Drosophila melanogaster: one gene and its partner. Changing the gene in region 1 together with any one later gene gives a genetic interaction. Each region holds a gene or a part of one and is shown in the gene's direction. Other genes may lie near its edges.

The links.
Region 2: of RpL14 (region 1) and pix, changing one enhances a phenotype caused by changing the other (phenotypic enhancement), as found in Drosophila melanogaster (one study listed by BioGRID).

The regions. Positions count from the first base shown.
Region 1 is NT_037436.4:8,599,252-8,602,983, forward strand, and holds RpL14 (ribosomal protein L14), read left to right. Parts: upstream 1-1,754; 5' UTR 1,755-1,783; coding exon 1,784-1,786; intron 1,787-2,062; coding exon 2,063-2,164; intron 2,165-2,221; exon of another isoform or gene 2,222-2,301; intron 2,302-2,396; coding exon 2,397-2,591; intron 2,592-2,696; exon of another isoform or gene 2,697-2,780; intron 2,781-2,851; coding exon 2,852-3,052; 3' UTR 3,053-3,141; downstream 3,142-3,732. Other genes in the region: Nelf-E (negative elongation factor E), read right to left, coding at 439-515, 580-746, 836-1,353, 1,412-1,492; CG5989 (uncharacterized protein), read right to left, coding at 3,264-3,602, 3,664-3,732.
Region 2 is NT_037436.4:8,971,242-8,976,303, reverse strand, and holds pix (pixie), read left to right. Parts: upstream 1-1,538; 5' UTR 1,539-1,647; intron 1,648-1,886; exon of another isoform or gene 1,887-1,956; 5' UTR 1,957-1,957; coding exon 1,958-2,170; intron 2,171-2,232; coding exon 2,233-2,843; intron 2,844-2,902; coding exon 2,903-3,619; intron 3,620-3,676; coding exon 3,677-3,971; 3' UTR 3,972-4,248; downstream 4,249-5,062. Other genes in the region: Srp68 (signal recognition particle 68), read right to left, coding at 1-567, 630-979, 1,084-1,180. UniProt on the Drosophila melanogaster protein: Plays a role in translation initiation and quality control of translation. Together with pelo and HBS1, is required for 48S complex formation from 80S ribosomes and dissociation of vacant 80S ribosomes.

The DNA.
Region 1 (3,732 bases):
AACGATATAGAAATCTATATGGCAGAGCATAGCAACAGAAGCAACGATCATGTATTAACTATTTACTTAACTCATGCTATGTACATACATACGACGTTCTCTGTTTCTTGCGAGGAGGGGGCGAGGACCACTAATAAGAACTTATTTTGTTTGCTCATCTTTTCTACCACGTAAGGCAAAGCGAGAGATTCAATTGTTAAACATATTGTTGTTTAATTTAGATCAAAACGTAGGAATTAATATACAAAACATACAATCTTTTTCATTGAATTCATTTGAACGTTATAACTTGAAATGCGAGTACTTAGCCAGAAAGTGAACATATATATAGAAGCGTATTTTCAATAAAGCAAAATTATTTAAAATAAACTGAAATGTGTTCTGTTACTAAGGGATAAAGTAAGTAGAAAGCTAAACGTAGAAACTAATTATTGCGCTCTAGAGCAAGAAGTCTTCATCGTATTGAACCATCTCGCGGTGGTCCTTGTGGCTACCCTTTTGTGATTTGCTGGCGGCTATTTGGGGAGTACATAAGGTTTGATTTCGTTTTTAAGTTATAGAGAAACACTGAGCACTTACCAATAGATGACCAGACTGCCGACGAGGAGGCATCGTTAATGGGCTCAATCTGGGGCTGGCGTCTAGCCAACTGCACCTGCAAGTTGATGCCATTCACATTCTTGCCATGAATCTCCGCAATGGCGCGATCTGCCGACTCGGGTTTGGCGAAGGAAACAAAGCCGCGACTGCAAGGCCATACAGGATAAATTTATAATTTCTCCAGTTGGGAAAATATATATGTAAGCTATAACATGGACTTTCCATGTTCACTTACCTCTTTTCGATCTCCATGGAGACATTGACAATGGTGCCGTAGTCGTTGAATGTCTTTTTTAAGAAATCCTCGGTGACCTTGTTGCCGGACACGAAGATGGTATTGCCGGCCCGTGGCTTCTCTGGCTGCGCTGTGTCCATGGGCACCTTCTCGGGCATGCCGCGCTCCTCTCGATCCCGCTCGGTGGCGAAGTGTTGGTAGAGATTCTGTCGACGCGGCTCCTCCTTAATGATCTCACTAATGATCGTCTCCTGGGCCACGTCGTTCTGCGTAGACGAAAAGGGCTGGTAGGAGGCAACAGTGGTTTCCGAGGTGGAGCGCTTGGCTCTTTCCTGTCCTTTGGGCCGCTTGAAGGAGGTTTGATCTTGCTTGGTCTGCTTCTGGATGGCGGGAATGGCGCCGCTTTTGATTAGTTTCCTGGCCACTTCACGGGCATCTCGCGCATCCGTGGGACGCTTCAAGGTCAAGGAGCTCTCCGGCTCCGGCTTGGGCGCCTTGTGCGCTTGCAGTGCCTTTTTCTACGGGTTAAAAACTTGTTAATATAAATAATCACATTTGTGGCATGAGTTTTCCCACCTTTTTCTTGAGTTTCTGATACTTGGCCTGCAGCATTTGCTCCTCTTCGGTTAAATTGTTGGGGAAGTGTATGTAAACCATGTTGGGAAAATGTCTGCTTGAAATTAACCCCGTAAAAAGTAACTTCTACAAAAGTAATTATGTTATTCCAAAATGTTTATTTTTACTATCGAAATCTATCGAATTGGCTTAGTGTGACTGTAACAGTTGATAGCGAAAAATACCACATAAGATGTGTATGATTTACTGTCACATTAACTATTTCTGCACAACACTAGACCACATGCAACTCTGTGTTTAGCAACACTAACGCCATGCTACCACCGAGCTGTCAAAAAAGTTCTTTCCTTCTCTTTCTTTCCGGTTAGCGTCATGGTAAGAATCGACGAAGGTTTCTGCGGATCGGTTGAAAAATGTGAAAATTCAGCGGTCTAAATGGCCCGAGATGAATTAAATTTGGCGGCCAAGCGAACGGGTCAGTGCGTTGAACGTGTGAATAGCGAAAGCAGCGTAAAAGCGTTGGAAAACCATGGGATATCCAACATTCAAATAGTTCACGTGGTGGTCACCAACACAAGCAACGCGCTGGCCATGCAACAACCGAAATCCAACATTTTCACCCATTTTTAATGGACTTCTCTCTGTTTGCAGCCTTTCGAGAGATTCGTACAAACTGGTCGCATTGCCAAGGCCTCCGCCGGTCCCCTGAAGGGGCGCCTGGTGGCCATTGTCGACGTCATTGACCAAAACAGAGTAAGTGCATCATTCCATAGTGGAGTAACAGCAACAAATTGCCAAGTGACGAGCTCTTGCACATGATGATAATTTGTCTTCTTGATAGGAAGTGCCAACTGACACATAAATGAAGCTAGTTTAACCCTCTGAAAGCAAGCAAGCAAAACCAGCATTTGTTGCTGTACTCCTCCCTTCATGGCCATACATGGTTAAAGTGATCCAAACTAATTAATGGCTTTTCACTTTTCAGGTTCTGGTAGATGGTCCTCTGACTGGCGTGCCCCGTCAGGAATACAGATTGAACAATCTGCATCTGACCAAGTACCGCATCAAGTTCCCCTACACCGCGCCCACGCGCATCGTGCGCAAGGCCTGGACAGAGAGCGACCTGAAGGCCCAGTGGAAGGTCAGCCCCTGGTCCGTCAAGGCACAGAACATCTGCAAGGTATGTACACTGAGCACGAGGAGGATTCGTAGCTGTAGGAAAGTTTACCTATGTAGAGGGGAAAATGTTATACCTCTTCTCTGCCTAGTTGATTACCTCCTTGAACTGCACATGATGATAATTGAAAGTTCTTGATAGGAATTGCCGGCTGACACATATATGAAGCTAATTCTAGTTTATCTGATTACAATCATAGCTAGGCGTCTTCATAAACATTCAGAATAAATCAAGTACTAATGAGAATTTGTCTTCTTTTGCAGCGCTCCTCGTTGAACGACTTTGACCGCTTCAAGCTGCGTTATGCCAAGCGTCAGCGCAACAAGCTGCTGACCATCGCCTTCAACACACTGAAGAAGCGCACCAAGGCTGACGGCACTCCCCGCGTCCTCAAGAAGGATCGTCGCGAGCGTCTGCGTGCCGAGAAGGCCAAGGGTGGCAAGAAGGCCGCGGCCAAGAAGTAAAAAATACTACCTTTAACGAAAGTAACTGCTTGATGAACATCCACCACCATGGAGAAAATAAAAGAAAGTGTTATTTTTAGGAAAAACACAAGCACACTGCCAGCTTTCTTTTGGTTTAACGGTTTTATTTGCTCTCAAGAAACAAAATGATCTTAACAGTCCAATCTTTAAAGCACAGTCTACCAAATAGCTAACGACCAGAGGACCCCGCTCAAGTGGGGCACTTGCCGTAGATGGTCTTCCAGTTGTTGGGATGGTTGTAGCCCAGCAGGATGGGCAAGTGCAGGAACAGCGTGATATGTTCGCCTTGTATCGACGTGGACACCTTGACCCACTTCCGCAGCCACTCGATCATGGCCTCGCTGCTCAGGCTGTCGGGATTCAATCCGCGCAGATAGCAGGAGTAGCGCAAAGCATCCGGTGTCAGGTTGTGAACGCCACCCTCGCGGGTTATGGCCTGGTCCATGTAGTGCACCAGGAAGGCGTGCTCGTGGAGCCGATGTCGCTTGAAGATGCTACTGGGCAGTCCATGAAGGTTGACTAGGTTTCTCTGGAACGTATGCATTAGTGATATGCTTTAGGCTGCATAAAATGTGTCAGATTAAACGTACAACGTGCTTCCGCGACATTCCCAGCAGGGAATATGGTCCTTCGGCGAATATGTCTTTGACATCGATGAG
Region 2 (5,062 bases), 370 kb from region 1:
GGTGGTTAACGAACGCAGCTTGGGATCCTGTTTGATTTCGTCGCGAACGGCCTGGATGGCATCCTTGCAGTCCATCAAAATACGCTCAATCAATTCTATCTTGGCATCCTGCTTGGTGGTCTTGGCCAGCGACTTGTCCAACTCCTGAGCACTGAGCAGGAACAAACGCACCTTCTCCGGACGCACGGTGACCTTGCGACCGCGCCAGTCGATCGTCTGCAGGCCCTCGCTGCTCTCCGTCTTTGTCTGACTGACCAGTACGTCAAGATTCTCAAGCACTCCCTGAGCGCGCAGCTCCAGGATCTCGTCGATCTTGCCGCCACTGGCGCCACCGCTGATGTTGTAGGCGCAGTAGCGCAGATTGGGCGTAAATTCATTAACCTTAGCGCGGTAAAGCTCTTGTTCATCTTCGGGCAGAGCCTTGCCCAGGTTTTCGTACACCACTTGGGCGCGCTTTAGGTGCTCGCCAGCGGTTTTCCATAGCTGCAGCTCAAAGTGCAGGGTTCCGTGCATCCAGGCAACATAGGCTTCGCACTCTAGCTTAGTGCGCGCATCGAAAGCCTCCGTCTACAAGAAAATTATAAATGAAGCTCAATAAACATTAATCATAACAGTGAGTTACAGCTTACATTACACAACTCCTGGAGCTGGAGGGCATAGAAACAGGCCCTGCGCAGCTTGTTGACCAGATGGAAACGCTTTCGCGGCTCCGTATTGGACTCCTGCTTGAGCTGCATGGCATACGCCCAGGCCCGCTCGGCGCAGATCAATGGGATGTGGATGAAACGCTCGTCCGCCTTCTTGCCTGTCAATTGGCCAATGGTCACGTCGCGTCTTTTGAAGTGCCGCTTGTCGCCCTGGGGGTACTTCAGGGCCTTCCTCAATCGACGGATGCGGCGGCTGCAGTATCCGCGGTACCTCTGGAAGTCGCCGTGGCGCAGGCCGTGTTGTTGCTGGGCATCCTTAATCATGTGCAGAACTGCAGCAGGAGTGAAAGTTCAGGGCATTAGCATTAAATTTTAGGTTAAATGGTTGGGCGTCTGGGCCACCTGGCAGTTGGCTGTAGGCGATTGGGGCACTTACTCTCCACCGTGAAGATCTTGGAGGGCTCTGCCACCGGAGCAGTCTCCGTCTTTTCCTGAACGTCCCCAGTATTTGGATTATCTTCTTGCACGACCATTTTCTTAGCAGTCGACACAAATCAACGACGTGTAAAAATTAGTGATTGCAATTCCAATGGGATTGTCAAAAACACTAAATAATCGATATTATTAAGAGCGGCTCTTGTGCGATATATATTTATATTTATTTATAGGATATATTATCAGTTCGGAAATTACATGTTCCTATATTGAGAGATAGAAGTTATAAATTTTATTTGATTGTCACTAAGCTTACTTTAAATAAAATCCCTGAAACATTATAAAACTTATGTTATGTAAAAATAACTGCACAAAACAATAAATAATTATAAACATGCTATACGAAATTCAAGCCCACTTATTGATATCGATAGTTTCAACGGCGCATCCCTATTCGTAGTAGTGTTGAGAAACTCATCAAAGCTCCCCCCTTTTGAAACTTGTTGGCTGACACGCAAGAGCGTGCGTTCTGTCTGTTTTACAACAATTTCGGCCAAGTTCGCAGGTAAATTTCAAATATTTCAGCACTCTGTCAACGTGAAATTTAAGAACAATGCCTGACGCATGAGAGACAATAGAAATTTATGGTGGAAACCCATTGTTTTGGCCACGCTTTGAGGTTATACTTTCACTCACTGACAAACGCTGGCACCTCACCCCCGCTCTTGTGTCCATGAATCGGTGCACCAGTTTTGTTTTGACGGTCGGGGATGGTGATTTGCAACGTTGACAATGGACTGATTATCATATAGGCGGCTGATTAGTGGATCGAAGCCAATTCTGTTTAATTTGCTCATTTGAAAACTATCAACAGCATGTCGCGCAGAAAGGAGAACGAGGAGGTGGACAAGCAGACGCGTATTGCCATCGTCAGCGATGACAAGTGCAAGCCCAAACGGTGTCGGCAGGAGTGCAAGAAGACCTGCCCAGTGGTGCGCATGGGCAAGCTCTGCATCGAGGTGACGCCCACGTCCAAGATAGCCTCGTTGTCCGAGGAGCTGTGCATCGGTTGCGGTATTTGCGTCAAGGTGGGTCAGCTTACCTACAACTGCTGTAGTTCCCGGAATAACCCGTGCTTTCAATTCCCCAGAAATGCCCCTTCGAGGCCATCACAATCATCAACTTGCCCAGCAATCTGGAGAAGCACACAACGCATCGATACAGCAAGAACTCCTTCAAGCTGCATCGTCTGCCCATTCCGCGTCCCGGTGAAGTGCTCGGTCTTGTGGGACAGAACGGTATTGGCAAGTCGACCGCTTTGAAGATCCTCGCGGGGAAACAAAAGCCGAACCTGGGGAAGTACGCCAATCCGCCCGACTGGACGGAGATCCTTAGCTACTTCCGCGGCTCCGAGCTGCAGAACTACTTCACCAAGATCTTGGAGGACAATCTGAAGGCGCTGGTCAAGCCGCAGTATGTGGATCAGATCCCCAAGGCGGTGCGTGGCGCTGTGGGCGATCTTCTGGATAAGAAGGACGAGAGGGAGCTGCAGACTAAGATTTGTGAAATGCTGGATCTATCGCACATCCGTGATCGTGAGATCGCTCAGCTTTCTGGCGGAGAACTGCAACGCTTTGCCATCGCCATGGTATGCATACAGAATGCAGACATCTTCATGTTCGACGAGCCGTCCTCGTATTTGGATGTTAAGCAGCGTCTGAACGCTGCCTTGACCATTCGATCACTCCTGCATCCCACCAAGTAAGTTGATGAATAATGTGCCATTGTTTAAAATTATGACGTGGTTCTGTAATATGCAGGTTTATTATTGTGGTGGAGCACGATTTGTCTGTGCTGGATTACTTGTCTGACTTTATATGCTGCCTTTACGGAGTTCCCGGCTGCTACGGTGTGGTTACTATGCCTTTCTCTGTGCGCGAAGGCATCAACATTTTCCTCGATGGCTTTGTGCCCACCGAAAACATGCGATTCCGCACTGAGTCACTTACTTTCAAAGTATCTGAGTCCGCTACGGAGGAGGAGATCAAGCGCATGAACCACTACGTATATCCCGCCATGGTCAAGACCCTGGGCAAGTTCGAGTTGACGGTGGAAAAGGGTCACTTCAGCGACTCCGAGATCCTGGTGCTCCTGGGCGAGAACGGTACAGGAAAGACGACGTTCATTCGCATGCTGGCCGGTAACCTCCAACCCGATGGCGAGGTGGAACTGCCTATGCTGAATATTTCCTACAAGCCCCAGAAGATTTCCCCGAAATTCCAAAATCATGTTCGCCATTTATTGCACGATAAGATTCGTGACGCCTACGTGCATCCTCAGTTTATTGCCGATGTTATGAAACCCATGAAAATTGAGGAAATCATGGACCAGGAGGTGCAGAACCTTTCCGGTGGTGAGTTGCAGCGAGTCGCCTTGGTCCTGTGTCTTGGCAAGCCAGCGGATGTCTACCTCATCGACGAACCCTCTGCCTACTTGGATTCAGAGCAGCGTCTGGTGGCCGCCAAGGTTATCAAACGGTATGTTTTACATAGACTTTAAATCTGCACACAAATATTGATGGTATCTCGTTTTAGTTACATTCTGCACGCCAAGAAAACTGGATTTGTGGTGGAGCACGATTTCATCATGGCCACCTACCTCGCCGACCGTGTCATCGTGATCGAGGGTCAGCCTTCAGTGAAGACGACAGCCTTTTCGCCGCAGTCGCTGCTAAATGGCATGAACCGCTTCCTCGAACTGCTTGGTATTACGTTCCGTCGCGATCCCAACAACTTCAGACCCCGCATTAACAAAAACAATTCGGTCAAGGACACAGAACAGAAACGCTCCGGCCAGTTCTTCTTCTTGGAGGACGAAGCCTGCAACTAAGACAGGATCACGGGCAACTTCGATGGGACAGCTCGTTTCTCTATGTTCTCCTCAGCTTTCCTTCGTTCATTTTGCATTCTTTCGTTGAAGAACACATTTGCTTTCAAATTAATTTGTTATTGTTGTCGAGGATTGCGTACAATCGAAAATTGGGGATTAATTGTACTTGATTAAAGTGAGTTTTATATACGTTTTTACAGCGAAATAAATAGTGAACCGAAACAACAGAATGTTGTTTTAAATGAGTCTAGCAAAAATAAACCAATTTTCTTTATACAAAACTGCATTTGAAAGTTCTTTTTTCTAAAGTGGTGCTCATAGAATCCTGCGAGTTTAAAAGAGCTAACGTTTGCAAATTAACACGTATTTATTGCACTTAAGCGATAATTACTCAAAATACGCACAATACAAATGTAAATTACATACAAATTTCTGTCATTTCAAATTTGATCACAATACGAAATCGACGCACAATGAATAACAGCTACAAACATTTATAAGTATATAATTTACAATATTTGTTTTTAGATATACCAACGCATGCACAGCATATTTTTAATGTAAACGCTTTTGAAGCTTTAAATTTATGCGATTTAATCAAATTTACATACAATTTTTCGAAAAAGGCAAATCTTTTGAGTTTATAATACTTAATTTGATCTGTGGCTTGTTGACCACTAAATAACTGACACAAGTAAGTACTATAAATAGGTAATTTTGGAGACTTATACGCTAAAAATTCCATAAAAGTAAATGCGTCAAAAATTGACCCAAATATTTGATAGTTGCATTGTGCTGTTTCGAATCCCAATCTGAGTCTGAGAGTAGAGAGCGTTTTACAAGGAGAGTTTTCTTACTGTTTTGCCGAACTTATGCAATAGAAGTATAGTTAGTAAAAATGGACACATGTATGTCTAAAATTGAGTGTTTCAGTTGATCCAAAAGCAGATCCTATGGTTTATCCAATAATTTAATTACCTTGTTTATTTTCTTTTTCCTTCAGCATAATTTCTTGTAAATGGAACTTTTAGTGACTTAACATTAGTTTTGCTATGTGCTTAAATAATTGTCGAAATCTTGCAACAGAACGT